4 linked regions of the Rhinolophus ferrumequinum genome follow. The protein of the gene in region 4 purifies or fractionates together with the protein of the main gene of each other region. This does not show direct contact. Links are inferred from orthologs where the notes say so. Each region holds a gene or a part of one and is shown on either strand. Other genes may lie near its edges.

Region 1 (7,729 bases), on a different chromosome or scaffold from region 4:
ATAAAATGACTTTTAGTATTTCACAAGACTATCCATTTTTTCCTTTTAACTAATTGTTCTCTGCAAACATTATATAGTTTTCTCTTCATGTTTTTTAAATATAATGTCAATTCTAACTAAAACATCTCATCCATAAACAAAATGGTCAGAATTGTTAAAAACAAATGACTAGAAATACAGCTTTAATCTTGTTATAAAGCTAATTAAATTTCACTGAAAGGTATTGTTGTATATCAGAATCTTGAAATTTTTAATAGTATAACTTTTAAATTTATAATAAACTATGTCTGATGACATAATGCAAATTTTTTTATAGTTTAATCTATAAAGCCTATTTTTATAAAGCTTAACAAACCCCCAATTTGGTAAAAATCCTTTAATTATCTTCTAACTGCCATCTCCTCACTCTACAGTCAAGGGCTGTGACACATGCAATGTCCATGTTAGGATTACCAAAGATCTGAATTTTGTCAATGCCGAATACTGGACACCAGTGTAACGTTTTCATGTATTTAATTCTCTTACTAATAAATACGATTCACAATAATTTAAGCTTTAAATAACATTCAACCTTACATCTGCTTGTAATAGAGCTCAGTTATTATTTGTGGCAAGAATTTTGTGACTGTACTGCTCAGCACTATTTACATCAGCAGTGCTAAATGCCCAATGGTGAGAGGGGAGCCAATCAGATGGCAGATTAGATGTCAACTCAGAGGCAGCTGTCTGGAGACTATTACAGCCAGTTTACCTCCACAATTCAAATTCCAAACCTTGCAAAGGAGATCAAGTCAGTCTTTAGGCTCAGCCTACGAGCAAGAAGCGGCAAGAGTGCAGGACACTTCCTAATAACGCTGCGGGACTTGGGTGACAGCAAATTAAAGAAAATCCTTATAAATCCTATCCAAAATGATCAATTTTCACTGACCTGCTATTTTCCTGGACTTGCTGAATAAAATGTATGCCAAATCCATGATCAAAATAAGTTCAATGTAACCGGACTGTGTTCCTTTAACATAGCCTATCTGTTGAAGGTGACTCCTTCCAAGCAGCCCGTAAGCCAAATAATGGATTTCCTGGCTCTTCTTAGGAATGAATCGATATATTTTAGAATATTTCACCTCACATCGTTGTACATTTGGGTATTATTTTTGCTAGTAAATATTCCAACTCAAAGCCCGCATCGAATTATCTCTGAATGGCTGGGCATAACTCCGAAAACCACACTCGGTTACCACAAAGCTAACCTATTTTTCCTGCCTTCACCTTGGAAGCCGAAAGAGAACGTGGTGTGGCTGGAGGTAGGACAAAGTTCCTCGTTCTTTTCCCAGTTAATGCTTATTGTTGGCGCTAACCGAGAAGACGAGGTTAATATTCTTGCCCAGACCACAGTGGCCGGAGCGCCGGTCTGGTTACAAAAGCCGCCGGACCGTCCCCAGCGCCCACACGGCTGGCTGGCGGCGCAGTCCCCGACTCCGGCACGCGCGGCTCGGGCCTGGGGTGGGGTGGCGAGGCGGGGTGCTCGGCCGCCGGCAGTGCCAGCGCCCGGCCCGGCCCTCGGCCAGACCCCCTCGCCAGGCCCCCGGGCCGCGCACTCGAACACCGTGCGCTCCCCAGACTCTAAGGGAGGCGTCCACCACTTAAAATGGCTTTGGGCGCCTCACCCCCACCTCCCCCGACAGAAGACGCAGAAAAAGTACGCGGAAAGAAAGAAACTAGGGCTCGCGGCGCGCGCCGAGGCCGCGGCGGAAGCAGGCCCGGCCGGCGCGGGGGTTACCTGGGATCTGCCCATGGTGGGGCCAGGGGTGCCGGGACTCATCGCCGGGTGGCTCCTTTGTTGCGCGGCCGCCCAGGCCGGGCTGGCGGCGGCGTACTGGGCACCCATGTCCTTGCCCAAGCCCATGCCCGCGGCCGCCTGCTGGCCGCCCGCCGCCGCCCCCGCCGCCGCCGCCTGGGACTGGGGCTGCGACGGCGGCGGCGGCGGCGCGCTGGGGCTGCTGTAGTCGGGGTAGCTGCCGCCGTAGCTCCTCATCATGGGGCTGGGCGAGGTGAGCAGCTGGTTGAGGGTCGGGGTGGCCCCCGACGGGTGCTGGTTCTGCCCGGCGAAGCGCTGGAAGCCCCCCGCCGCCGCGCCGGCGGCCGCCTTGCTGAGGCTCGCGGCCCCGCCGCCCCCGGGGCCCATCATCATGCCGCCGCCCTGCTGCCGGGGGGAGCTCAGCACCCCGTACCCCGAGGACGAGCCCCCATAGCCGCCGCCGCCGCCGCCGCCGCCTCCTGCTGCTGCTGCTGCTGCCGCCGCCGCGGCCGCCGCCGCCACAGCTCCCGCTCCCGCTCCCGCTCCTCCTCCTCCTCCTCCTCCTCCTCCTCCTCCGCTGCCTCCTCCTCCTCCGCCGCCGCCGCCGCCGCCGCCCGCGCCGGGCCGGCTGTAGCCCGGATAATGGTTGTACTGGCTGTTGGGGTACCCTTCATGGGAGTTCTGCAGGGGGTCCATGCTGTTGGGGGCTCCGGCGGCGGCTGAGGCGGAGTGCATCATCCCCATCCCGGGGCTTTGTTGTCCGCCATGTTGATCAAAGCAAGGCCCAGCGCGGCCGCCGGGGCCGCCGCTAGCAGGGGCAGCGCTGCCATAGTAATTATTAAACTCCGAGACGGCTGCGGGGCCGCCGCCGCCGCCCCCGGGCACGGCCACCGGCGGCTGCTGCGCGCCCAGGGTGCCCAGGCCCGGGTGCTCGTACCGGCCGCACGCCGGCTCCCCCATCTTGGGCGGTGCGTCGTCCTCGTCGCCCGGCTTGCTCAGCAGAGGCTGGCCAGGGGGGTCAGCCTGGCCGCCCGCGGCACTGTCCTTGGCGCCTCCATGTTGCGGCTGCTCCATGTCGGGACCGGGCTGAGCCGCGCCGCCGCCCGCGTTGCCGAGGCTGCTGTTGTTGGAAATGGGATGTTGCTGCTGCTGCTGCTGCTGTTGCTGCTGCTGCTGCTGTTGCTGCTGCTGCTGCTGGAACTGGTTTAGCTGCTGCTGTAATGCGTGGTGGTGGTGGTGGAGGTGGTGGGCATGGTGGTGCTGGTGGTGGGCATGGTGGTGCTGGTGGTGCTGCTGGTGGGGCGGTGCGGAGGGGGCTTCGCCAACGGTTTTCAGTTTGTGGTTGGGGAGCAGCCCCGTCTCCATGGCCGAGCTCGGGCCCGACGAGGAGGAAGAGGAGGACGCCGCGGAGGAGGAGGAGGACAGCGCGGCGGCGCTTCCACCCTCCTTGAGAGCCGCCTCGGATCCGCCGCTCTTGGCGCTGTTAGTGCTGGCGGCAGCGGCCGCCGCGCTCGAGTTATGGGCCATGTTCAGTTCGTGACGGGGGTGCAGGGGGTGGTGGTGCACACTGTTCAGGCTGCCGCCGTCGCCGCCGCCGCCGCCGCCGCCCCCCAGCGTGGGTCCCGGTGCCGCCGCCGCCGCGCCGCGCGCCCCCGTCTCCAGGTCCCGGACCCCGGGCGCCGGCCGCGGCCCGGGGGGCGCCCGCCGCTCGCCGCTGCCCGCCCGCGCCCGCGCCGCCGCTGCCGCTGTTGCCCGCGCGGCCATGATCGCCGCGGCGTGGCGAGGCCGGGCGGGGGGCGGGGGGAGACAATAAAACCCACTTTTTAGTCCGCGGCCCCTCCTGTGCGCATCCACACGCCCCGACGGGGATCGAGTGAGCCCCCTCCCCCTCCACAGGCCCCGCCGGAGCCGAACCGGGAGTCACGCCTTACGGTCTGGGCCTGTTCCCGCTGTGTGATTTCATGGTGAAAGTTTTGAGTTCAGGTTTAAATGAAACTTTTCTCTTTTCCTCTCTAACCCGGATATGGGTAAATACACGACTGGTTGAGCCTATTGGGCCCAGCATGGCATGAGAGGGAGCCGAGCGAGCCCGAGCAACTATTATCCACTTCTCTCTGATTACTCGTGTGCACTCGCAAAACGTGGACTGGACTCGGTGGGCCGCCGCCGCCCGCCGGGCCCTGCGCCCGCCGCCCGCCCGCCTGGGCGCAGCCTCCCGGGCACCCGGCGGGCCCGGGCCCTAGGGCTTGGGCCCGCTCCGCAGGCGCCCGGAGCGCGGCGGCGTGGGGCGGATGAAGGCTGCACTTTCCCCCTCGTGCCTCCGTCTCCTTGCCAACCGGGCGTTCGCGTGTTTGTTTTCACGTCTAAAAGGAACGATACAAAGGTGGAAAACGAGTCTGACGAGCAGACAAAAGAGGGAGAAGGGCTGGGGAACAAAGTTGTCTGTTGGCCTCAAAGGTTACGTACGAGGAGCCGACGGAGAAAGAAAATATTTGGGCAATCGGTGCAAAAGGACTGTCTCTCCCAGGAGTTACGTAATTTTTCAGTGTTAGCCTCTGTGCCTTGATTTCGGGCCATCAGCATAATTCCCACTTCTTCAAACTGCAAAATTAGGAGAGTTTAAGTGATCCTTAGCCGAATCGGAGGAGCACTGTGCTCTGTACACAGCAAGTACTCAATAAATGCTTATGATTGACTGCACCTGCCCCAAAGATAATGTTGATATAACTATATTTTAAGCGTCCTTATATATGTATGTAGGCTTATCAGTGAAAACTCAAAGTATTCCCAAAGGAGCGTCTTTCTTACAATGCACTTGTCCTCTCTAAAAGGAAAGTATGAAGAGTTGTGTGTTATGCTCCAAACAACTTACACATGGAAATTTTAACGGTCATAAATAGCAACAGCTAAGGTTTATCCCATAACTTCATAAACCTATATGATGCTTTTCACCATATTTCAGAGGTTAATGTGCTCAATTAACCCTTTTGATATGAGTTCGTTTCTAGGCAATTGGAAACAAAACTAAAAGAAATACATGTTATGTTTAATAAACATAAGATCAAACATAATATAAATTGGTCATATCTAATCCTAGAGTAGAAATGTTTCATACTTTGTTCTTTAAAAAGTACTATCTATTGTTTTATCACTTTATGATGTCTTAAGTGTTTTTATTGTTAATTTATCACCTAGTAACACCTTGAATTGCTTCAATAGCAGGAATTCTTAACCTAAGCAATGGCTCAGTTGTACTAGTGTGGACTCAGTTTTCGTGGAGAGAAAGCATTTGAAACCAGAGCTTTGATGAGGTCTCCCTAGCTGAAATATATATGATTTTGGTAGAATGTAGTTTTCTAAAATGATTGCATTCTTCAGCTTTTCAAAAAGACCATTTTAGTTTATTTCAAGTGCAGTAGTTATTTTTGTTTGCTTGACCAAGTGTCAATATGTTATGTGACTAAATAGAAAAGGATAGATGGGAAAAACAGGTGACTAATGGGGGGAGGGAATCAAATGCACACCCAAGGGTCATTATATAGAGTATAGAAACAACAAATTGCAGTTCTATGCAAGCAGCTGGAAAACAGGGTTATATCATCCTGTGTAAGAGAATAACAGAACTGTAAGATGAATTCATGCCAAATCATTCATCAGTTTTTGCCAAGAGACTACTACATCTTTGTCAGTGGGCCTTTTTGACATTTTTCTTCTGATTTTCTCCCTTTATATATTCAAATACAGTACATACTAATTATATATACACATATATATGTGTATATATATGTATATATATAATACTACATAAGTTGAATTTTTAAGTTTTTCGTATGCAAATATAAATATATGTTTTGTGTATGTGTGTATATACATATATTCTAAAATGAATTACATATGTATGCATTTAGACATTTATAGTCAAACTAAATATATACATACAATCATAACAGTACATTTTTTCAAACCAATAAAATATATCCAAGTCAATTCATACAAGTGTAGCCATATTTCTGGCTTATTTTTAAAAACTAATTCTAAAAGGGAAAATGAGTCACCAAGTTCAGTTCTGGCCCATTTCTTAAAAATATTTCATATAGAAAAATGAAACCAAAAAAAGGTATATAAGTCAAAATCTCTTTTAATTCCATTTGCTTCAGCAAGTCATCTAGAAGATTGGAACCAAGAGGCTATGAAATAGAGGCCCCAGCACAATGAAATCAGTCTGCTATAAAAGGAGACACATGCCAGTTTGTCCTCCCCAATGGCAGATGCCACACCCTAAAGCAGACAGAAGGCACTGCAGTCTGTAAGAGAAGCACAACACAAAGCCGGCAGGACTTGGTTTTGTCTTTTAAACCACAGAGACTGCTAAAATACCTTTTAAAAAGCATCTTGCTGAAGATATTCAACCTATACTTTTCAAACACACCTCAGGAAAACAAAATCAAAGCCTCTTACAGTTTCATTTAAAAATCCAGGACTTAATAAACAAAACGGCAATTATTGGGGGCCTGTCAGAAAGTGATGAAATAGGTTCACATTTCACAAAAGCACAATTTGAACTATACATCATGATTTCTACTGTGTGGCTTGCTTCAATAATCATATATGGCAATTCAACATTTATATTTTAATTTAAAAAAAGGTAGTAAAAATCACCGCATTTATTTTTCGTAATGAATTCCTAATTTTTACACCTCTTGACTAAACTTCAAATCATGATGACAACTTTAATAAGTTTCTCCAGCCACAAGAAGCCGCAGAGGTGAAGGGCCGGAAGCTGCCGAGTGACGGTGCCTACAGCGGACCTCCCACCCACAGGTTGCCCCATGCCCTCGTGTGCAGCCAGAGGATTATCCGTTGTTTTGCTAAACATTACTTTTGGCTACAAAAAGGGTTTGGGGTTTGTTTGGCTTTTTTTAATTATATGAAAAATTAATATTCAAATACTGCTGCTTTTTGAAAAGTTTTAGGGCGCTGAATAAAGGACTGTTGGACTTGCCCACTTCAAGAGGATTGAGCCAGATGATAGTTTAAGAATGCCACAGTTCTGTTCTTTTTGCCTCATCAGAGCCCATCACACTGTTTGTTTTCAGATTAGTCCCCTTTTACTGTTCTGGTTATTTATTCGATAACTGAAACTATCACGATTCACTACCCATCATATTTCTCAGTATGCTTTACATAATTTGGAAGCAATTTAGAATAAAGCCCTGTCAAGGTTTTACAAATAAGAACTATTAAAGAATAAGGCTTTGGATACTTGCTTTCCTTTTAGATTTATGAGAAATGCGATGAATGGAGCTAATGGGATTTCCCTACTGATCTTGGTCAGGCACTTTAAAAAGCACTAAACAATTGTCCTTTTCACTTCTCTGATTTACTTTAGCAGTGAATAACTGAGTTAGTGCAAGATACGGGATATACATTTGATTTGAAACAACTATGCATATTAACAGTGGCCCATAACTTTGGGATGCAAAACAACTAGGATTTGAAAAAGATCTAGGCAACAGTAATTTAAAAAACTGGGGACTGATGATCAGTAGCACTATTGTACTTAGAAAGAATATAATAGTGGGGATAATAAAACTGATTGGGGAAAAACTACACTTACTCACAAAAAAAATTATCTAGAATCTATGACATGCCCTGAGAATAAAAAAGGTAAGTACTACCTTGATCCTGTTCTCAATAGGGGAGATAACCAATTACCCTAAAACATAATAAAGGCTGCCCTGAAACATCATGGAGGACGTGGCCAGTCAAGAAGCAGGCTCGGACTTCCCACCCAACAGCTTTCCCTGTGGCTGTGTCTTGTTGGCTGCCATCAGTGGACACCTCGCCGTAATCTTCAACCTCAGATGGCTCTAACATGCCCCTGGGAACCCACCATTGTTGGAGCTAGACTTCCAGAACCTTAGGTCAAAGTTA
Region 2 (7,443 bases), on a different chromosome or scaffold from region 4:
CTTTTCTTTAACAATATACAGTAGTCCCCCTTTGCCAATGGGGATATGTCCCAAGACTCCCAGTGGATGCCTCACACCACAGATAGCATCGATCCCTATTTATACTGTTTTTTCCTACACATACATACCTTTTCACTTAAAGGAAGCACTTGATGACTTCTCCTTGGCTTACCCAAATTGCCAGCATCACTACTCTTGTGATATTGGGCCATTATTAAATAAACTAAAGGGTATTTGAACACAGTCACTGCAATATAGTGACAGTCCACCTGATTGTCTAGAAAGCTACTAACATATGGGGAATGTATACCGCATGGAAACGCTGGACAAAGGGATGATTCTGGATAGGAAAGAGCAAGACTGCGTGAGCTTTCATTGTATTACTCAGAATGGAGTGCAATTTTAAACTTATGAATTGTTTATTTCTGGAATTTTTTATTTAATATCTTGGGACCAGGATTGACTCCAGGCAACTGAAACCATTGAAAACGAAACTGGATTTGGAGGGGGACTACTGTACAACGTGCTAGGCATCCAGCTAATTGCTGAAGTTTCAAAGATGAATTGAACTTGCTTTACACCCTCCAGGCACCAACCATCTAGTGGAGGATAGCAAATAATCGTATCAAAGTGATAAGTGCTGTAACGGCCATACACACTGGTTGCTATGGGAGCAGAATAGGATAAGTGGCTTCCTCTGCCTAAGGAGGGCAAGGAGGGCCACTGGAAGGATGCTGGGCCATAGCTGACTCTTGGAGTATGTGTACTGAGAACCTGTATTTCAGTCAGAGGAATGTATGTCCAATATGGCCCCTTAGGAACCAGGTGGTAGACCATGTTTCCAGAGCTTAGGCATTTGGGGAAGGAGAACAAGCCTAGCAGAGAGATCTGTCCATGCACACTGCCTTGGATGGATGACACGCTAAGAAATCTGAAATTTATCCTATGATGGATTGGGAACAGACAAAAGCTTTTAAGCTAGAGAGTAATATGCTCACAAAAAGAATTGGGGTGGCATTTTGGAGGAGTGATTGTAGAGAAACAAAATCTTCTGAGACGATTGACTAGAAAAAAAGGATAGAGAGGAGTGTTTATTTCTGCAATAAATTTACTTGCTAATTCTAAACTCTCTCTAAATTAAATGTCAACTGTTCACTTTGTCAGAGTTTCGTTTCCATTACTGCAGATGAAGCACTCATGCCTTAAATGGTCTTACCTTCAAGCCCATTTGAAGTTAGGCAACATTTCTTTCAGTCAGCGTTAATAGTTTGCCTAGTGGGACTAGAAGATTCCTATCTTTGTGCATGGAAATTTTCTTCATGAGGGTGTTGTGATACCGATTTTCAAACCCAGTATCTACCGTATACAGAATGTCCACCATAACAGACTTACATAAAAAGTGAACGTGGCCATACAGACATGAAAAAGTGACTTCTAGCCCTTGATCCCAAACTAGAAAGAGCAAGTTCAGAGAACGCATTATGACTCATCTAAGTCCAAAAGGAAAAGTTTCATGTGAATATAGCATCCTGTGCGGCCTCCCAGTTTTTTTAACCTCCAACCATGTTTGCTTTTGTGTGATTTTCTGCAAAACAAAAAAACCTCATCTTTTTTCTCCTTAACATCAGTTGTTAAGTTTTGCTTTACATCAGAGATAAAGCTCACGCTATATGTTCTACAATCTTTTCATAATGAGTGAATGGTGCTGCCTTTTGATTTTTTCTAAGTGTAGGTCTTGTTTTATAATATTCCTACTTGCTACAGTATAAGCTACAAACAAGACGATTCTTTAGAGAAAAGACCTGAAATAAGGTGGTGTTTTCTTAGACCAATGTGAAGGGAAAAGGAGATGGAATATCTGTATTTAATCTCTGCTCCCAATCATAGATTTTATTTTTCAATTCCCATAGTTTTGCATATAATGCATGGATACCCATCCCTCCAGGTAATGCATCAAACTTTTGTATTAGCTGAAGAATATATACATGGAACAAAGGCAACTTTCTTCTTTACTTTCCTTCTAACAAAATGCCAGAAAAAAATGGCCAATCTCTTACTCCAGTTTCTTACTAAGATGATTGTTCTCTTTTTGAAATTTGGCATGGCAGGTGGAGGTAGAATCTTAAAAGGATAAAGGGCACTTATGCGCAAGGAAATAATGGTAAAGTCATCAATTTCTAAAAATTGGCCTGTGAGGTTGACATGGCAGAGAAACAAATTAGGTCCACCAAAATTAAAACTTAATATTACCTAATGTAATGAGTATTGCCATAAGGTTAAAGTCCTTCTGTAGATAACTAGATTATCCGGCTATATTATTAGTTGCAATTTAATAGGCAGTTAGAAGTTATACTTTTACTACATTGCTAATTTTGTTTAAGACTTCTGGCTGTGTATTTCCCAGTTAACAGTTATACTGGCATATCCTCAGGCAGAAAACGAAGTTCTCACAAAAGATTCTTCAGTGCATACTGTTTTTTATTTCTCTTAGATGTGTTATATTTGTTGTCTTGAGGTTCACTTTTGGGATAGGCAGAAAATTATGAAGCTCAAGTTGACAAGCAAGATAACAGGGCCTTAGAAAAACAACAGGGTGGGTGATCCTTGACACACCTAGCCACCTGAAAGTGGTGCCCTTGCAGACTGTCCTTCCTCAAGCAGTGGACCAGCAAAGTGAACAATTCTCGCCACTTAATGACCACATGCAGCATTTGGTGTTCTTTCATTGCTTTGTGTCTTCAGTGTACCCACTGCATAGTTTTAAGCATCCTAGAATTGCATTTCAGACCTGATTGCTCAAATAGAGTCAATTTTGCAACAGTAAAATGGCCTTAAAATAGGATTTTACTCTAGGGGGAAACATCCTCAACCAAGTAGTCACTGTGCACTTTGAATGACTAATTTAAACCATTACATTACAAAATAAGGGATAAATCATATTTTTCAGAACAGTACAGTATAGGAACAGTTTTAATTTTAAGAGTCAAGCACCGTCATTAATCTGAGTCTAAAATAATAGGCCCCTGATTTTAAAATCTAACATTCTTTCACACTTCATAAAACTAAAAATAAAATTGTCTCAGCAAACACTGACCTGTTCCTCCCGCCAAAGTACTGTATTTCAAGGAAAATTGGAACAAGAGGTCTCAAAACCGCAAAGTGCCAGCAGTTTACTGTTTGTAGCCCTAATTGGTCTTAAACGTGGGGTGGGAGAGAAGATTCTATGGTCTGTAGAGAATAAGAGATTTATTCCCCTTCTTAAATCAAAAGCAGATTCTATGCTTAAACTGCCCCCTAACCCGCCCGCCCTGCCCCCACAGGGTTGTTTTTCCAAATTTTTGAATATATTTTACCGAAGATGACAAGTGAGGGAGGTCAAAGTGCTGTGTCTGGTCCACAAAGTAAACAGACGGTTTAGGGCGGGTTTATTTATTTATAAGGCGTTCAGCCTCTCAGCTGTTTTCCCCTCATTGGCATTTGGAAGCTTGCAGTCCTTTAGAAAAGAGGTAGATTTGGCAGGAATGTTCTTTGTGCCCTCCTTCCTTTTGATGGGGGAGAAGGGGGCCGATTTATAACTGCAGCCTCGGGTCGCGGGCGGGGGGAGTGAGGAAAAAGTTTCAGCCGACACAATGCCTTCCCCCCCCCACAGTCAACACTATGCCACAAACCGCTTTGGTGCCACTCGGAGCCCTACCCGTGTCCCCTCCCTTTCCCTCTGCAGGCTCGCTCTGGCAGGCGGAGGCACCGTTAAATTCCAGCACCTTCTTCACATACCCCCAAACTACTACACGCTATTACTACGGTTGCCCTCCCCCTTTCGCTTCGCCTCCTCCGCTTCCCCAGCTTCCCGGGAGGAGCCCGGCAGCGCCCCTGGAAGAGGTCTACCCGGAGAGGGATAACGGGCGCCCAGCTCCATCAAGCCTTGGGGCTCTCTGCGTCCTGCGCAGTTTCTCTGCTCCAGGCACAACCACGGCTCGAGAGCCGGCGCCTTGCAGACACACACCGATCCACGCATACAGTAGAGCTGTCTCCGTCCACATTCTTGCACACCGCCCCCTCCTCCCCCCGAGCTCCCGGAGTCGCTGAGCGGGTCGAGTGACAGGCGCGTCCCACCAACCCGCGCTGGGGCGGGCAGGGAGGAGCGGCGCGCGGGGCCAACTGCGGCGCGTCTTCCGGCGCCTGTGGAGGAGGCTGAGGGTGGGACGCGGGGCGGAGCCGGAGTTTAGGAAGAGGAGGGGATGGCTGTCATCAATGAAGTCATATTCATAATCTAGTCCTCTCTCCCTCTGTTTCTGTACTCTGGGTGACTCAGAGAGGGAAGAGATTCAGCCAGCACACTCCTCGCGAGCAAGGTAAATATAACTTACAACTCCTTTCTCCTCTTTCCCCTCCCTCCGGCCTCCCGGCTGCAGCCGCCGCACAAACCCCTCTGGCACCGCGCCGCCTTCGCCGGGGATTATTCATTATTATCCTAATTATTATTTATTGTGCATGCACAGAGACCAAAACAAATAGGCGGGCCAACCGCCACAACAACAACAAAAAAAGCCCGCCTCCTCCCCGCGGGCCTCAGGTGGAATGCTCTAACGACAGCACCCGGGCGGCGGTGGAAGAAACGGGAAAGTTTCAACCGAACCTTGCTGTTCTAATAATAACAGTAATAATTACTACTTCAAGGAGGCGGGGTGGGGGGGAATTCCCAACAAACCACAGCCTTGACCCTGGGTAGGCAGTCAGCGATGCGCTGCCAACTCAAGGTTGCAATACACACACTCGGCAAGGTTGCAGTCCCCCCCCCAACCCCTTAAAAGCCGGAGGGGGTGGGGGGTGGGAAGGAGGGGAAGGCAGGAGGATACAGGAGGAGGATGGAAACGCGACAGTTCATCCCGAGCAGTCCTCCCCGGAAGAGTTGGAAGAGGAGCGGGAGAAGGAGGCAAGGAGCCCGGGCTTGCGGCGGGGCGCCAACCAAAGCGGCTGCTACCCGCTTCCCGGGGACTAGTTTAAAGGGTTCCGGCTGCGGAGACCTGAGCGGAACCCTGCAGGAGAAGCTTGAGCTGGCGCGCCGAGCAGAAGGCTGCCACCGCCGCGGGGTCTGTGCGTGTCGGATCGGAGGTGTCACCTCCACTTTGCGCGTTCCCTCGGGCGGGGATGGGAATGCTGACCCGTAGGCAGGCCTTTAGGGGAAGGGGCCGCCGCGGAGCTGTGCCCGGGGCTCTGCGGGCGTCCCTGCCCCTGGTACCTGGCAGCCGCGCGGGCTCGGGTGTTGAAGTTCGGGGTGTCGGGCCCGGGCCGCACTGCTGGGAAGGAGGGAGGAGGCACCGAAGAAGGAGGTCGGAGGTGCCAGCCGGGCTCAGTTACGCTGCCTTCCTCCCCTTCCTCCCCCTGCACCCGGGTTTGTCTTGTTTTGCTTTGCGCCTTCCCCAAGCTGGAACCGCGGGAACCGCGGGCATAGATCGCCCCAAATCGTCTGGGTGCTAGGGGCGCTTTGGGGCCCGGGAGAGCCACGGTGGTTGCGGACCGGGAGGCCATGATCCAGATAATCCTCTCTGCCTGTCACAAACAGTACCCGCGCGCACGCCGGCAGTAGCGGTGGCGTTCGCCGGAGAAGGGGAAGGGCTGCGGGGGGTTGGGGGGGTGGGGAAGCAATGGGGGGGGGGGGGAGGCGAGGGCTGGAGGCGGGGAGACCCGATGGGAGCCTCCTCCCAACGATGACACGCACCCCTTCTTTCTCGTTCCCTGCTTTCGAGTTGCTTTATTCCCATTCCAACCTTTTTTACCCTTTCCTCTGCTCTTCCCTCTATCCGGCCGGCCCTCTTCCCTCCTCCCGTTTGTGTTGCAAAACATGGCCATGCCATCTGCAAAGGTGTCGAGATGCACTTCCCCAAATAACCGGTCCGGCGCGCCAGCCCCTAGGCGCCCTCCGGCTGCGGGGCGCACACAGAGTCCAGTGCCAAGGGTGCCCCGCACCAGGCCTCGCAGCCTGGGCGTAGTTGCACCGAGAGGGGCCGGGCGCAGCAGTGCGGGCTCGCGGAGACACCCGCGCCCTTGTCTGGGCACTCGGGCCGGTTTCCGGTACACGCGGGGAAATCGCCTCCTGCCAGTTTCTGGGCGCTCGCCCCTGCCCCGGCCGCCAGGATTGCATTATTATTTTTATCCGGGTTGCTGTTTGCGGCGGATCCTGGTGAGCGCGGGGCTGGCTGGGCTGCTAGGGTGGGGGTTGGGGGAGGGAAGTTGGACGCGGATCAGGCAGGAAAAAAAAGTTTGGCAGGGCAGCTAAGTGGGGTGGGGGGGGTGGAGGGGTAGGAGAGGGCGGCGAGCTCCGGCGGCTTGCGTCTCGGCGCCCTCGAAGCGGGCGCGAGGGTGTCTGCGCGTGAGTGTGTGTGTGTTTTGTGCGCGCCGGGTCCAGTGCGTTGGGAGCAGGGCGCGGGCCCTCCCCCGGAGCTCGGGGAAGACCTGGCGAGATTTGGAGGAGGGGGCTGGTTGGGGTGGAGTGTGCGTGTGGCTGTGAGTGTGAGTGTGCGCGCCCGAGCGGCAGAGAATCAGGAAGTCACAGCAGCGAAGCGCACACAGACATGTTTGATCGCCGTGACATGACGCGCGCGAGGGAGGAAGCGGCGGCGGGGGCCCGGCCGCGGGACCCCGCGCAGGCCTAGGGCTTCGGCGGGGAGACCCGCTTCGGGTCGCCAGCTGCACAGCCACGGCTCCTCTTTTTGTTCCGCGTCGCCCAGGTAAGCAACCTTCGCCGCCGCCTGTTGTGTGCGGAGCTTTCCAGCACTTTCCCTGCCGACTCCCTCCCGTCTCCCCGCTCTCTTTTCCTGCAGTCAGGCAGGCGGAGGAAACGGGCTCCTTCCCTCCGATCGATCGCGTGGAAAACTTTAGAGGGAGGCATCATGCGGAGGAAGGCGAAGGCCTTGCTGGCTGTTGTCGCTTGTCATTTCTTTCTCCTGCGGGTCCGGAGAGTGGAGTCGCTGCGCTCTGGGGCTGTTGCACTTTCAAACTTCGGGCCTAAACGTGCCTTCAACTCTCGCAGGATTTACTCTAGCAATAAAATAAGTATTTAGAGTCGTTCACTTGGTCTTGCCAGGGTTTGGATTTTTTAAGAGAAGAAAACAAGGCTCGGGAGTCGAGGGAAGTGGGGGTGTTGTGCAGAATCCATGCCTTCTTTAATGTCTGCACAGGCTGTTATGTAATTTTAGTGGCACATGGGTGCAAAGCCCATTCTGGGCTTCTCCCCTCCTTTGTTTATATAACTTTTGGGAGAGTTTTGCAAGGTTGTCGCCTTTTCCCCCTCCCCTTGGTGCTTTTGAAACAGCAAAGTGACCCAGGTTAGAATTTGATGGAGAGGTGTCATTATTGCCATTATGTAGGCTGTATTCCTAAGTATGTGTAATGTTGGAGCGTAAGGAAGACATTAAGGATATACGTTTGTCTACTGCATTGAGT
Region 3 (7,467 bases), on a different chromosome or scaffold from region 4:
ACGGCGTTCGTAAACCGAAATGTTCATCAACGGAGACGTTCGAAAACCGAGGTACCACTGTATATAGGAAAGAATTTTGGACTCAAAAGACTCAATTTGAAATCTCAATCAAGGGTAAATCTTTAAGTGCTCTAAGAAGCTGGAAAACTGCACAGTGCCAGGAGTTATCTGGTTCTAAGTGTGTATATAGAACCAATCTTGTTCTCAGGGCTTAACAAACACTTTAGCACTGGAGCTTAAACTATAACAATTCGTATTTATATATTTGATAATCTTAAACAAAGGGCAGAGGCAATTTCTTTCCCACAGTATTCCCAGTACCCATGAAGGTAAGGTGTCTGGGGCATCTTGATTTGACTTAGGAGTAAGAAGACCTGGCTTGGATGAAAGTCACCAAATAAACACGCACAGGTATAGACTGGGGAGGTTGGATTAGATAAGTTCTAACATATTCTATGAGAGGGAGACCCCTTGCATGAGAAGCTGGACAGAGTAAGTCTGTGTGGCTTATGTACGTAACTTGAGCTACACCAACAAACTCTTCTCTGGAATCAGAGGGGAGCTTTCATTGAGCAGCCACAATAGATCACTTAGGTACAGCTTAGCAAGTTCCTAGCAAATGAAAAAACACACCACACACAAGGTGGTGACACCACAAGATAGCCTGGTTTGATTCAATGAGCTGTAATCCCTGTGATTTGAGGCAGCATGAATCCTGTGTTGGCGAGTGGAGAGCACAGAACAGGCTCACCTTGGCTTGCCTTTAGGAGGCAGCCATGTCCTCCTAACACAGAAAAATCGGATAAACAAGGTTGAGAGCAGCAGCTACTTTGTTTCTGCTGATGGGAATTGATACTGACATTGGAAGTCAAATGGAAGGAAGGGCCAGATGGGCTGAGAGCTGCAAGGAACAGCTTGGGGGGGAATGGAGAGTAAAGTTCTTGTGAGTTAAGGGGAATTTCAGAAGGTGAGGCAAACTGTCCCATGAGTAAGAGAGCTGGGACTGAAACACAAATTGGGGGGAGAGAGGATCTGATGGAGAGAGAGCAAGAGAGAATGAGAGAGCTCTTGAAGAAATGAAGGATCCTATCCCAAAAAATTCAAGCTGACATTATTCTCTAGATCTTGTTATCTAATCAGAAGGTATCAAAATTAGTCAGCAGCCACAGCTATTTAGTACTCTTATTTTACCTTAGTAAGACACCTTAAAGACTGTTTCAATTCTGATACCACATTTGGGAGGGACAGAGAATTTACAAATAGGGCAATTCTTCTCCCAAAACAGATGGAAGTCAGAAAAGATGAGCTGGTAGTCCTGACCTCGATGAATACAACCTCAGCTGTCAGAAGACGAGACACACCACGATCAAGAGAGCAACAGAAAAACATCTCACAGGGTGAGAGTGGTACAGGAATGAAAGCCTCTTCTTAAAGGGAAAGTTCTGTAGGAAAATGTATTCATTGTGATCCACAGCCCTCTGCAACTACAATTGAGGAGAAAGTTGGTTTCTCATTACTGGTACTCAGGAACCAGTGGCTGGTGACCCTCACAATCTCTATAGCTCTTTAAAGAGAAATAAGAAATCTTGCTCTATTTAATCGGGCAACTCCCCACTTCTAACACTACACAAAAGGGCTGGCGATCCTATTTCCCGGAAGAAAGTCTTCCTTCATAAAAAAATCTCATTACATAACACTCTCAAAACCTAGGCCAGTCGGACATTCTTCCAGTGTAGTAAGATTTGCGAGGTAGAAGCTTTGATTCTTTTTCAGGAAGCATGAAACCTGTGTAAAACCTCCCCTTACAATGGGGTGGGGGGAGTCAACAAAGAGAAAGGCAGGGAAACAAAGAAAGAACATCTGAGTCAGGAAGAAGAACTATATAAATGGTAGATTATTTCTAAATTGAGGGAAATGTCAGCCTGAAGAGAGAGCTGAGGAAACTGGAGTGGGCAGATCACAGAGAAAGATAACAGTGATGGGAGGAGGGATGGCTGAAAAAAGGCAGCAGGATAGAGCTGAAAGCAAATTTAAAAAAAAAAAAAAGAAAAAAACCACAAGAGGAGAAGGCACTTAGCTTAATGGAAGTGGGAAAGCTTTCTCAAAGAAAAGGCTCCAGGCAGGGGAGGCGGGGAGAAGCAATGTACCTTATAAAAGGCTCTTGGGAAGAGTGGGACTCAGCCCACCACAAAGACAAATGAGAAGCTTTAGAATAGTTCCCAAACCTTTACCTTGTCATCCAGTCAAAATCCGAAAGCCCTGGCTGGACAACTAGACACCTCTCAACGTACCTACCCCTGCACCAAGCCCAATTAACAGGAGCTTGTTCTATTGGCCCAACGGGGCACGAACCCATTTCAAAACCCATTCAGATTCTTCGTCAGGGAGGAGGCTGTATTAAATCAACTCCCAAAGCATCTCGAACTCATAGCTAACAGGCCATTTCCCCAACAACCATTAACTTTAACTTTGCTCGAAATCTGCCCAGCACAAGAGTATTGCCGCCCTCGATGCGCCTCCAGCTGCAAAGGCATCCTGCCGTCCAGCTCCCGTGTTTTGATGTCTGGGACTGGCCAGCTCAAAGGCCTTCTCCCCTGAAGTTCTTTCCCTTCTGTATCTGCTCAACAAATTCTTCCCGAGAATATTTTTGGTCTTGAATACCTGCTACCTAAGACACCCCCCACCCCACACACACACACGCCGCGGGGCTGCCCCGCGGTGCTTAACCGCGTGGAGGTGCCGCGCCTGTTGCTCCAGGGCCGCTTAGTCGACCGGGAGGGGTCGGTGGCCGGCCTTCGCGGGGACACTGGTCGTTCCCGGGTCCGCCCTCCGCCGGGTTCCTCCGGACTGCGGCGTCTCGGAAGGGACCCCGGAACTGTGTCTCTCGTACGCAACAAGGGAGCCATAATCTGGAAACCGTAAGCCTCACACAGCCCAGGGAAGCTGCCCGTCAGGAGCTCCCGTGTGCCCCCCTCAGGGCCTCCACAAGTTTCCAAAGAAGCGCAACGTCTTCTCCGGAGTCTCCTGTTGCCCTCCACAGCAGGAGTCGCAACATGGCCTTCCCCGGCACGTCCCTCTCTTCGCCTCGTCCATTCCCGCCCAGCCCCCTCCTCCCAGGCCCCTTACAAGACCTCCCGGCCTAGGAGAGAAAGAAATGACCACTCACAGCTTCACTACATTTTCCACCACGGCCGCCATCTTCCCTGCTCCTTTCCCTCAGGCCGGGAGGCCCGGAGCCTGCAGCGCGCAGGCGCCGGGACCTAACGGGGGGGACCTAGTTTCCTTGTCCCTCTGCGCAGGCGCCGCCCGAGCGCGCGCGCGTTCCAGAGCGAGCGGCGGAGAACCCGCTTGGCGCCCGCTCCCGCGGCCGGAGAGCCGAGGAGCCCGACGCGCAGGCGCGATGGGTACGGGCGCGCGCCCCAGCCTCCTGCTTGAGCCCTGCGTCTTCCATTTGGAGGAGCGGGAGCGGGATTTACCCTGGTCCAGAAAGGAGAAGGCGAGAGGTTGGTGAAACTGGCAGGCCCAGAGGTGGGCTAGATGGAGTGCATGCGTCCTGCAACCTCGCTCATCTTTAATCTCGTGCTTAACTCTTTGCTCTCAGTCACAGGTGGGTAGCGGAAGGTAAGAGTGGTGCATAGTTCACTTGGGCCGCCAGACATACTATTCCCATTTTAGGGAGAGGAAAATTAATGCCTAGAACTGGGCAGTTCTTTGGCCTAAATATTGGGGTCTGATAAAGTTATCTTCCTGCCACCAAACTCACCCACCAACTGCACTGGTACCCATCTCTTCTCCCTTGCTTCTTACTCCTATCTAAGCTCCTTCCCTCCACTTAGGTTTTGAAGAACTTCCTTCCTGCAACTGTTCTTCTCTCATCTGTACAATTAATTTCTCCCTCACTGTTGAGCCATGCAAATTCGTGTACAAACATGGCTTAATATTCTCTTTAAAAGAAAGCGAAGCTCTTCCTTAAGTCCATGTCTTCATTTATCACCCTATTTCTTTTTACCTTTTCATAGCAAGTGTTCTGTTTATATTCCCTATCTCTGTTGACTTATTTCCAAGTCTTTCTGCCCAATTTAATGGGGATGTTTCCCCCCACCAGTTCACTTGAAATAGCCCCTAACAAAAATCAACAGACTTAGAGATCTCCTCTGTCCCCAACAGCCTGTCAACCCCATGACACAAGTGACCACCAGTCTCTCCCTTACCACGTTTCTGAGGCATGCACCTGGCTGTCCTCCTGTCACACTGTCAGTTCCTTCAGCCTTTTCTGGCTCTCCGACGTCTGTTCCACCTGTAACTGTCAGAGTCTCCAGGGCTTGGTCTTTTGTCCCTGTCATATACCTTATTTCATCATTTCCAAGATGCACATATTCCATGTCCTCTCTCCCCCCCATTTTAATAATTCAGAATCAGGGCACATCTTACCATCACTGTGCCTTAAAATCGTGTTTGGCAGATGACAGTTGAGAGGTATGTGTCATTGTCTGCCTTCCATCAAACTTGCACAATAGGTGTCAGCAGCCTGGAAGAAAAACCAGAGATAATACTGGTGCACTCTTTTACCCCTGGGAACTGAATGATTGGGAGGACAAAAGGTGTCAGAGGTGACTCCAATGCGAGAGTCAGAAAGATGTGTTATGGTCTAAATGTCCTCCCGCCAAAAAAAAAAAATTCACGTTGAAGCCCTAACCCCCAATGTGATGGTTTTTGAAGGTGGGGCCTTTGGGAGGTAATTAGGGTGAGGTGAGGTCATGAGGGTGGGGCCCTCATGATGGGATTAGTGTCCTTGTAAGAAGATGGATCTCTCTTCACGAGGAAAGCCTTGTGAGGACACAGCCAGAAGGCAGATGTCTACAAGGCAGGAAGTGGGCTCTCACCAGGAACTAAATCTGTCGCCACGTTGATCTTGAGCCTCCAGAACTGGGAGGAATAAATGTCTGTTGTTGAAGCCACCTAGTCTATGGTATGTTGTTACAGCAGCCTGAGCCAACAAAAGCAGTGTGCTAGCTCTAAAGCTGAACACTCACATACTCTGATCCAGAATTTCCATGTGTGGATCTATATACCAAAAAGCACGTACAAGAATGTTTACATTAATTGTAATAGCCCCAAACTGGAAACATCCCAAATGCCCACGACAGTTAGAATGGATTAAACAACAATAAAGAGAATAAACTATTGCTACAGAACATGAATGAATCTCAAAAACTGAATATTGAGTTGAAGAAGTCAGTTTTAAAAGAGGACATCTTGTATGATTCCATTTATATAAAGTCACATACACAGACACACTAATCTATGGGGATAGAAGTCAGCAGAGCGGTTACCTTTAGAGGACAGTGGCAAGGAGAGGGCAGGAGGTGGCTGCCGAGGTGCTAGTAATATTTTTTTTATTCACCTGGGTAGTAGTTACACAGGTTTGTCACTTTGTAAAAATGAATTGAACTACACAAGATTTGTGCACTTCTCTGTATGTATAGTCAGTAAAAATTTTAAAATAAAAAATTAGTAATACTAAGGAGGCTAGTTCTGTACAATCGGAAAGGCAGTTTATGAGCCCAGCACCAATGGCTTTCAGGTCTTGTAGGATTCTTTTTTAAGAAATCACTGAACAGTAGATACCCTACATGTTCTGAGCAGTGACCAGTGACGAGTATATAGTGTTTCTCTTACAGACAGGAACCAAGGAGTGGAAGTGGGGGTGCAGCCGCTTGCCATCTCAACTAATGACCCTTTTGCAAAATGTTTCCTGTTCCTGCGACTCGGCTTTTGCTGATCTAGAGCCGTGAGGACCGAAGAGAAATGCTTCCTCCAGAGGCACAATAAGGATTTCTCTAAATTAGGAGCTGAGCCTGCCGGTGGGTCGTTTTGTATTCCACATCCACTGGGCAAGAAGGTGAAAAGCGGGTAGCACTGTTGGCTGGGGTGATTGATTCTTATTATCAAGGGGTAATAGGATTGCTATTCCCCAGTGGGGGCAGGGAGAACTAGAAATGAAACCTAGGGGATCTTCTTAATGTTACATTCAGGTAGTTAATGGGAGACAGGCTCCTGGTTAGGTATTTAATTCCCACTAAGACAAACTAAATATCAGAGAAAGGGAAAAAAAAAATCTTAAAACCATTCAAAAGCTAATAATATAATGAAAAATTACTGGGCCAACATTTAGGAGGCTGAAATCCAAAGAGGTAAGCCCAGAATTCAAAGCAATTTTTGTCCTGAAGACATTTACTGATCTGGAAGCTATAACTGAAACTGAGCTGTCTTTGGTGGGAGGATCAAAAATCAAAACCCAGAGCCTGCCGGTGGTCAGATATCCCACCACCACGAACACACACACACACACACACACTCACACACACAAGCACGCACATTAAGATGGGACTCCTATTTCTACGGACTAATATCCCAGAATCATATTATCTGGGTGGTTCAGGAAAACTCAAGCCTTGAACTTGGATTAAACTTGGGTTGAACTTGGACCCATCCTTATAATGTTCCTTGTCACTTGGCAAAAGCAAGCATATTTGGTACCAAGCAATATTCTTTCTGAAGGAATGTACTGCCATCCAAGGCCTCAAATTATTTCTAAAACAATTTTTTCAGGTATGATATCCAGTCCAGTCAAAGGTAATCAGGCACACAAAGAAATCTTGCACGAGAACTGATACACACCACAGAAAACACAAAATGATCCACAAAGATTTAAGATACTGGAATTATCTGATAATGACCATAAAATAATACTGCTTACTGTGTTTAAAGAAGGTGAAGACAAGCATAAAAATATCTGCAGGGTACAAGCACCTATTAAGAATTTCTACAACAGAATTTTTAAAGAATCACGTAGAACTTCTTGAACTGAAAAATACAATAACCCAAAGAAAACAACAAGTTGGTTAAAAAGCAGATTACACAGAACTGGAGAACCAGTGAATAGGTAGGAAGAAGTTATCCTTAATACATCACGGAAAGACAAAAGAACAGAAAATACAGGGTTAGCGTAGAAGCATAGAGGATATATAGAGAGCTCTAAGGTACATTTAATTGGAGTCTCAGAGGGTAAGGAGAGAGAAAGGGGCAGAGGCAATATTTAAAGAGCAAATGATAATTTTCCAAAAATAATGAAATACATGAAGCCACAGGTTTAAGAAGTCCAGTAAAGCCCAAGCTAGCTAAAGACTTAATGGAAATACACGCTAGAGTATTTGGAATGAAGTGTCACAATGTCAGCAACTTAACTTTCAAAAGGTTAGGAAAAAACTTGTATGCAGAGATAAAGCAAATGAGGCAAAATGCTAATAAATTGGCAAATCTAGGTGAAGGTAGATGGATCTACATTATACTAGTCTTTCAATATTTCTGTAGTTTTGAAGTTTTTCAAAATAAAAAGTTTGGGGAAAAAGTCAGTTCTATACGGGGAGATTCACTAAGGTGTCAGATTCTTTAAAAATGAGGGTC
Region 4 (8,097 bases):
TAGCCAATGAAAACAAACCCAAATGTCCATCACTGATGAATAAATAAAATGTAGCATAGCTATACAATGGAAGATTCAGCAATAAAAAGAAAGTCCTAATACATGTTTCAGCATGGATGAATCTTGAAAATATGCTAAGACAAAGCAGTCAAAAAAGACCACATATTGTATGAATCTATTTATATGAAATGTCCACAACAGGCAAATCTACACAGACAGAAAAATTGGTGATTGTCAAGGGGTGAGGAATTAGGTGGTAGAAATGGGGAGTCACTGCTGATGTGTATATAGTTTCTTGACGGGATAACGAAAATGTTCTAAAATTGATTGAAATGATGGTAGTACAACTTATCAATATTCTAAAACACTTGAATTATACACTTTAAAATGGGTAAATTGTATGGTATGTGAATTATATCTCAATAAAGCTGCTATTAAAAAGTTAACACAAAATGAAATTTAAATTTCAACACAAAAAATGAAAATTAAAAGAAAATTTTCATATCAATCTTACTGAGAACACTCTGAGGTCTTTCCTTTATTCTGATAGTCCATTATACATTGAATAAGATGGTTATTTTCATCCAACATCTGAAATAAAATTGGAAAAAGTTTATTGTAAATCTAGTGTTATCAAGTAAAATTTTTAAAAGACCTTCAAATTTCTAGAAATATTTATCTATACAGAAACTGAATCCACTCAGATCTTTTAAATCTTATTTCACACCTCTGGAATGTCATGTTTAATCAACAATTTTTAGATAACTCTATTCCAATTATGCTCCCTTTTAGTTATTACCTGCAGCCCTGAAGGAAAAATTTGAAGTTTCTTTTGTATTCAAACACTTAATTACCCCTGCTATATATGTAATAGAAGCTTTAGTCTGTTAAGACTAACTGTTGAGTCCAAGTTAGCTTTCTATCATTCTAATGCTTTTTAGTAGTAAAGAAAATTGTCCTTATCCAGAATGAAGTAAATACATAAAAACTTCAGCCCAGGAAGCTTGCCAGAATGAAGTAAATACATAAAAACTTCAGCCCAGGAAGCTTGAGGAGATAGCTGGCCAGTTTCCAAGTTTTACACAGTATGGTTTTGTGATTCTCCAAACATGAAATAATCAAATACAATAATTTCTACTTATGTATAATAAATTTATTGCAGACTTACCTTATAATTCAGTTGTCCCAAAAGTGTAAAAACAAAAGCATACCTATTTATCACTCTATCATGTTATTACAATTTAAAGCAGTATTGGTTTTAAGGATTAAATAATTCATCTAAGCAAAGTGACATTGAGAAAAGAATACTCATGTATTAATAGCAATTAAAAGGCCAGTTAGCTTTAGTGCCACCTTTGCTATCCCATGCAAACCACTTAAAATTTCAGATTTATCTGAAAGATCAAGGGACAGGAGTAGCTGTTCCCCCTGTACTTGCCCCATCCCTCCGGGCAAGTACAGGAGGAACAACGAATGAAGTAGAATACCATAATCACTCTATCTCAATAATTTAGTTAATATAACTCAATTAAAAACGAAGATCCATTTAACAGTAACTGTGTCTTTTTTCTGCATATGAATCATAATCTTAACTTGCTGGAAAAAAATATTAACTGTTAATTTCTTAAATAGACTCACTAGATGCCAAAAAAAATTGTCCTTATAATGCATTAGTACAATCAAACCATTTCACAACGTATCTTCTCAGTAGATCTCTCAGCCTAACAAACTGTATCGTTAGAATGTCTCATATCTAAAATTAATCCCTCACACTGTAAAACGAGGCACTTGATTTGGAATCCACTTTCCCTTCTCATCTGAAGATGACAACTAATTGATCAACATCTCCTGAATTAATCACCCATGAGAAATACCTTAAGAAAAACTGTAGAAAAAAAGAAAAACTCAGGAATTTCCTACAGTCCAAAAATAAAAAGTGAATCCCTCCCCCCCCAAAAAAAAAAAGTTTTTGAGTGTGTTCTTGGAGCTGTTCGCCACACTGCAGACTTAGCCCAATGCACTATATGAAAATACAGCACCCAAGCACTGCCAAGCCGGTTTGCTCATAAAATAAAGTCAGTTAGGCAAATCAACGTCAAATGGCACACTACAAAGAACCTGACAGTAAACAGAAACTGATGAACAAATCTATTGGGCATAGGATGTAGTAGTAATACATACGATGTTGCCCTTAGTACTAAAAACTCACCTTTCTTCAATTTTCATCCCTACTCCAGTGCATAAAACAAAATCGAAATATTTAAGGTAAACTACGAAGTTTAGCAAGTAACTTTTCAAAGTCTGGCTGAGTAAATTTTAGAATGCTGCTTTGCTCATAAGGCAACAAGAGTAGAAGACAATAAAGAACCTTTGTGTCCCTAATTGGCAGTAACACGGCAACAAGAGACAGTACTACTCTCTAAAAGGGAGGCGGCTCCCAGTGTATTTATCACGACTTCCGTAATTGGTTATAATTATCATTGTCTCTACCACTAGACTGTAAACTCCATGAAGGCAGGGTCCATGGCTCACCACTGTAGCCTCAGAGCCTAGACATGGCGCTCAATGAAATTTGCTGGAGACGCAAACGGATGTGGGGTGAATCCGGAATGGAGAAGGGGACTCCGAGGTTAACCCTGAAGTCCAGAGGGCTCTCCCTCGCCTACCCTTCTGATTCTATGAAGGCTCCCTGTAGCGTCCCCCAAGTTCTCGGAGTTCCGCAACTCGGCTGGAGTTTGCAGCACCGCGGAGGGCGGCGACTTCGCCTCGGCCTCCCGCGACCCGAGATCGGGTCTACACTAAGCAGCCACGGAGCGCTGGGCGGGGCGACGCTAAAGTAACTCCGGAGCGACGCGCGGGGCCGCGGGGGGCGCCGGCTGTAACAGCCCTTGCCCCGCGCGATCAGCGCCGCCGGGCGCACGCGCCCCGCAGCCCGAACGCCGCCCCATCCCTAGAGAAATCCGGCGGCGGTTACTTGGGCTTTTGTGCCTGTAGGAAAGAGGCCCAACGTGCCAAGGACTCGGTGAGAGAACCAGTTCGCCGTCTTCCGCCACCCACTCAGGCACAGCCCGTGGCTCGGGTTGCCACACCGCCGCCTCCCAGCAGGCCCGCCTCCGCCCCCGGCCCGACCGACTGTCGGCCCGGCCCCCGGGGGTCTCTCCCAAAGGCGGGATGGGCCTGGCATCCCCGTCCCCGCGAGGTTTCACCTTCTGAATTGCGGCGGGAGTGATCTCCCCCTTGCCTCGCTGCCTCGGGGCTGCGAACGCCACAGACATGTTGCCGCCGTCACCACTATCGGCAAGTCCCGAGCGCACCGGTGAACAGCAAACTGGGGGAAAGACGCCGGCCTCTCGGGCTGAACCACTTCGGGAATGCGGGGTGGGGGGATGCTCCAATGTCGAACAAACAGGAGGCCTGCCTGGCCTAAAGGAGGAACTCTGGCCCACACACGTCCTCTTTCGAATGTTATTTGAGAATCTAAGCCCCCATGGAACTTCTCAGTTTTTGATCGACCTCTCGTCCTTCTACCTTTCCTTTCATGGCCCCCAGTCTCTTTGCGCTAATGGTAGGACCGCGCCCCAGCCCTCCCTCCGCTTCTGCGATTCAGGAAATGGTCCCGCCGCCACGGGAGAGTGAGAGGCTGGGGCAGCGCCTGTCACAGGAAATGCGAGTGGCCCGAACTGGCCCGCCCCTTTCACGCGGGTGCAAGTTGCCTCCCTCCTCGGCGCGCTGAAATGTCCCTCAAACTGCGTTTCGGCGCTGTTGTTGATCTAGTTCAATTTTTCCAACTTTATCCTCACCCCTCCTCGAGTTGTCTAGGCACCCCGGATAGGGGAGGAAGAAGGTCAGGACACGGGAATCCGTGCAAACCGCTGGAGCATCTGCTGACATGAGGTAGAGGTGGAGGACTAGGTGAACGCGGATTCGCTAGTTTAAACGGCTCGGCTACGCCCCAAATGCGCACCTCTGAGTCCACAGTCTTGCACGCGCACACGTCGTCACTAACAATTGGAAGCGAGCCTGATTCAAAATCGGGAAACAGGGCTGTGTCCAGTACTCAGAGGCAGTCGGCCAACTTGGCTAGCGTACCAGGGGAGGAGTTCGCTGCTTGGGACAAACCCTTAGAAACGTCGGGTCGAGTTCGTCTGACTTGGATTTTTCGAATTAAGTTTTGAAATAGGGAACCCTCACTCTTTTCCAATTACATACTTAGTGCCTTGTAAATTAGGTCCAAGCTGCCAGGCTTCAACTCTGTTAGGAAGAAAAACAACAAAGCTCTCCAATTATGTAAGGACGATGGGCAAATGTGGGTTATGTGTTGGTGTGAGGTTTTTTAAATTATTCTGTAAATTTACATTTCCACCTAATACAAAGGAAAAGTTTATATAAAATGTCACCCCAAATTAACGAGGCTCAAAATCAATCCCTCAGTTTATATATAAACTGAAAAAATAAAGAAAAAATTTATAAAGTTTTTTGTTTCAAATAAATGCTCTCCACAAAAAGGTCATAAGTTTCATTCAGCACATTAGGGTGCGTTCTACCTATGGGCTTTATCCTAGGCACCTAGGATACAACTGTGGACAAGTTCAATATGGGAGCTGCTCTCAAGGAGCTTATATTCTGGTAGGGCTGACAGACTAAAACCAAATAAACAAATATGCTATATGTAAAGTTCTAAGAAAGACTAGCAAACAAGGAACTGAGAACAGACAGGGACACTCAATGTGAGTTAGGATGGGAAGTCTTCTGCTATATTTAAACAAAGACCTAACGTGAAAAAAATTCGAGCCATCCTATGAATAAAGGGAAGAGAATTTATACTTCTACTAATGGTAATTATTCTTAAGAATTTAATTGCCTTTCACTACTCTAAGCCCTGGGGGGGGGGGGGAAACAACTCTGGTATATTTGAATTTAATGTAATCTCATGTTGGAAAAATTTCTCATGAACTCAGAAACTAAGTCTCGTCCACCACAAACACTGTATGTTCAACACCTGGCTTTTATCATCATCTTGATATTTACATAAAAGTACCTAAGTAGTTAAGAACAATATTTCAGTGGGAAAAATGACAAATTGTCCTACTGCTCCAGTTGTATCTGCTTGGCAGATAGCAATGAAATCTTAAAGAGCAACATGAACCAGTAGGAATAGTCTGAATTTCTATAGCTCGGTTAAAAAAAAAAAAGTGCTAAGGGGACTTCTATTCCAAGGAGGTACCCAGGAGATACTTTCTTTGTTTACATTACAGCTCCCCAACAACAGGAAAGGATATCAACTAAAAATGGGTAATAGGTCAGCCCAAGGCGCTTATTCCTTCACAGTAGCTGGGTAGGACCTAGGGCACTGACAGGCTAGACTTGAGGCATGCATAACCAGTCTTTTCTGTGATACCATGTGTTTTCTATGTATCTGTCACATGAAATCGGTTGGGAAGCATTGGAATAAAGGTCCAGCCAGAAATACAAATCATCTCCCTTAGAGAAGACACTTTAATAGGACACTACCTTTCTCTCATGCTTCCTTCGTAAACACAGTTTAATGTGGAAAAGTAGAAAATTCAGAGAATGAGAGGGTAGATTGTAGCCTCGAGGAACTTTCTTAGATCTTTGTAACTGTAAGAGCCTTGAGTTAAGGAAAAGATAATTAAGGGCACTTAGTAAATCCTGCCTCACTTCATTAGTTTTGAAGAGAAAGGAATCCCAAGGTACAGATTTAGTGGTAGCAGAGTTGGGACGAAAAGGAAAATAAAGAGACCCCAGCATTTAGTTAAGAAAATGGAGAATAAAGATGGGAGGTTGGCCCAAGTCTGAGAAATGACTGCGGGAACTTAAAAAAGAGCTTACCCAGGCAACCATCGCCCCATCCAGAAACATCAGTCCCATTATTTAGGCTGTTCTGGATTGAGACATCTGACAGAGGAATTGAAGTCACACAAGGAAGAGGTGACGGTTTTTAAGAATAATCCTAATAGAAGAACATATACAGTGGCTCAGACTAAATAAAAGATCTGCATGAACAAATCTTGATTATTCATACCAATAAATATAGACACATTTAACTCAAAAAAGGTAGTAGGAAAATTGTCCATGTTTGATTTTCAATGTTTCAATTTTTAATTTGTTTTACATGAACTTGTTTGTATTCCTTAAATGCCTTTCATGGAACTGATGAAGTGCTCCAGGAATACGCTCAATATTTTGTGAAACTACATAATCATGGCATTAAAAATTATCTTAATCCACAAAAAACGTATTATGCATGTGCAGATAATTGAGATTACTTTCATACAAACATTTCTGTAATATTGTTTTATAATTAACAGAGCACACGGACTATCAAATTTGCTGATATTTTAAGCCCCTGTGCTGCCATAAATTCTTAGAATACATTTGGAAAGGCATTGACCAAGCCTGTCTGTTCATAAATGGGCTCAGAGCAAAACTCCTCAGGTAATTCAAACTATTTCTGCTCACCCTTTCCATGGCATTTGATGAGTCATTTTGAGTTGGCGCTTTAACAGATTTCAAAATTATAAGGCGACTATATAATATATATATTCATTATTCCAGGCAAGAACAAATCACCTTTCCCAATTCTCCATAAAACTTTTTCAATACTCCAGAAGATTTAATTCAAAGTAGACCATAACAAACCCTATTTAGTGCGTTTTCATCTCTTTTTACAGTATCAAACTTAGACTGAATTAAGGAGGAGCTGAATCAATTATATTTTGGTGTTTAATGTTATAGGATGGTATTGCTTTAAAAAAAATAGTTTCTATGTGAAGCTCTATGCAACCTTAATTCACTGAGAAATGCACAGGTTTGGAGTTCCCAGTTCTTCCACCAATGCAATGCTACTGGACAGGCCATTTCTATATTTCATTTGCCTTACAGAAAAACAACTGCCCTAAGGCTATTAGAAATAATAAGGTGTTTAATTACTGTTTATTTAGCATTTATTATATACAGCCACTGTGCTAAGTGATTATCTTACATTAGAGTCTTAAAGATTGTCCCAAATTTTAACATGTACAATATGTAAAAAAATACGTGGCACATTATAAATTGCTCAACAAGGATAAGATCTGTTCTTAATCTAATAAGGAGAAAAATATATACTTTAAGAGTAGAAATGTTCAAAAGTTCTTGATAGTGCAGTCTAGTGCAGTCTACCCTTGGGAAATTTTCTGGCTATAATTTAGAGATTAAGTGATCTTTTTCCAATTTAGCATGTTATCTGACCTTATGCATGATGTGTAGCTACTCTACCTTTAGCAAAAGAATATACTAACTGTTCTTGAACTGCTTCACAATTTACAGAGAGGATTATGATATACTAATTTCCCTATGAATTGTTAACTAATTTTCCTATGAATGGGTGCAGTAGGCAGAATAATTTCATCCTGACAAAGATGGCCACCTCCTAATCTGCAGAATCTGTGAATATGAGAGGTTACGTGGTAAAGTGGAATTCAGGTTCTAAATAGAATTAAGGCTGTTAGTTGGCTGACTTTAAAATATGGGGATTAACCAGGATCATCTGAGTGAGCTCAAAGTCATCACAAATATCCATAAATGAGGAACAGTGAGTTGAAGGGTCATAATCAGAATTATGGTATCTTGAGAAAGACTTGACTGGCTATTGCTGGCTTTGAAGATGGAAGGGGGTCATGAGACAAGGAATGTGGGTGGCTTCTAGAAGCTGGAAAAGACAAGGAAGTAGATTCTCCCCTAGAGCCTCCAGAGGGAACACCAACCTGCTAAAATCTTAATTATAACACAGTGAGGCCCATTTTGGACATCCTACCTCTAGAACTGTAAGATAATATGTGTTTCTTTAAGCTGTAAAATTTGTGATAACTTGTTAGAGCAGAAATAGGAAACTAATAAGATTGTTTTTTCCCATCTAACATTTATGGCTGAATTAGGCAATGTGCACTAAAATACTGATAAGTGATTCAATATTCAAACTACTGTTCTAATATATAGTAAACTAACCTAACAATCACATTTATTATACAGTTTCTTAAAAGAAAAATAATAGCATTATATTATAGTGCAGTCCTGTAGATACCATGATTTCAGCCT

The links.
Region 1: the proteins of SS18 (region 4) and ARID1B purify together in Homo sapiens (affinity purification with mass spectrometry; 4 studies listed by BioGRID and IntAct, counting the BioPlex papers as one, with this or other methods). This does not show direct contact. The link is inferred for Rhinolophus ferrumequinum from reciprocal best matches to the Homo sapiens genes SS18 and ARID1B.
Region 2: the proteins of SS18 (region 4) and SMARCA2 purify together in Homo sapiens (affinity purification with mass spectrometry; 6 studies listed by BioGRID and IntAct, counting the BioPlex papers as one, with this or other methods). This does not show direct contact. The link is inferred for Rhinolophus ferrumequinum from reciprocal best matches to the Homo sapiens genes SS18 and SMARCA2.
Region 3: the proteins of SS18 (region 4) and DPF2 purify together in Homo sapiens (affinity purification with mass spectrometry; 4 studies listed by BioGRID and IntAct, counting the BioPlex papers as one, with this or other methods). This does not show direct contact. The link is inferred for Rhinolophus ferrumequinum from reciprocal best matches to the Homo sapiens genes SS18 and DPF2.

The regions. Positions count from the first base shown.
Region 1 is NC_046286.1:98,774,003-98,781,731, reverse strand, and holds the start of ARID1B (AT-rich interactive domain-containing protein 1B), read right to left. Parts: upstream 3,383-7,729; 5' UTR 3,323-3,382; coding exon 1,778-3,322; intron 1-1,777. UniProt on the Homo sapiens protein: Involved in transcriptional activation and repression of select genes by chromatin remodeling (alteration of DNA-nucleosome topology).
Region 2 is NC_046295.1:33,833,037-33,840,479, reverse strand, and holds the start of SMARCA2 (probable global transcription activator SNF2L2), read left to right. Parts: upstream 1-4,197; 5' UTR 4,198-4,352; intron 4,353-4,970; exon of another isoform or gene 4,971-5,094; intron 5,095-5,838; exon of another isoform or gene 5,839-6,181; intron 6,182-6,334; exon of another isoform or gene 6,335-6,728; intron 6,729-7,443. UniProt on the Homo sapiens protein: ATPase involved in transcriptional activation and repression of select genes by chromatin remodeling (alteration of DNA-nucleosome topology).
Region 3 is NC_046294.1:6,328,812-6,336,278, forward strand, and holds the start of DPF2 (zinc finger protein ubi-d4), read right to left. Parts: upstream 3,316-7,467; 5' UTR 3,199-3,315; coding exon 3,167-3,198; intron 1-3,166. UniProt on the Homo sapiens protein: Plays an active role in transcriptional regulation by binding modified histones H3 and H4. Is a negative regulator of myeloid differentiation of hematopoietic progenitor cells. Might also have a role in the development and maturation of lymphoid cells.
Region 4 is NC_046302.1:22,094,467-22,102,563, forward strand, and holds the start of SS18 (protein SSXT), read right to left. Parts: upstream 3,362-8,097; 5' UTR 3,276-3,361; coding exon 3,207-3,275; intron 592-3,206; coding exon 515-591; intron 1-514. UniProt on the Homo sapiens protein: Appears to function synergistically with RBM14 as a transcriptional coactivator. Isoform 1 and isoform 2 function in nuclear receptor coactivation. Isoform 1 and isoform 2 function in general transcriptional coactivation.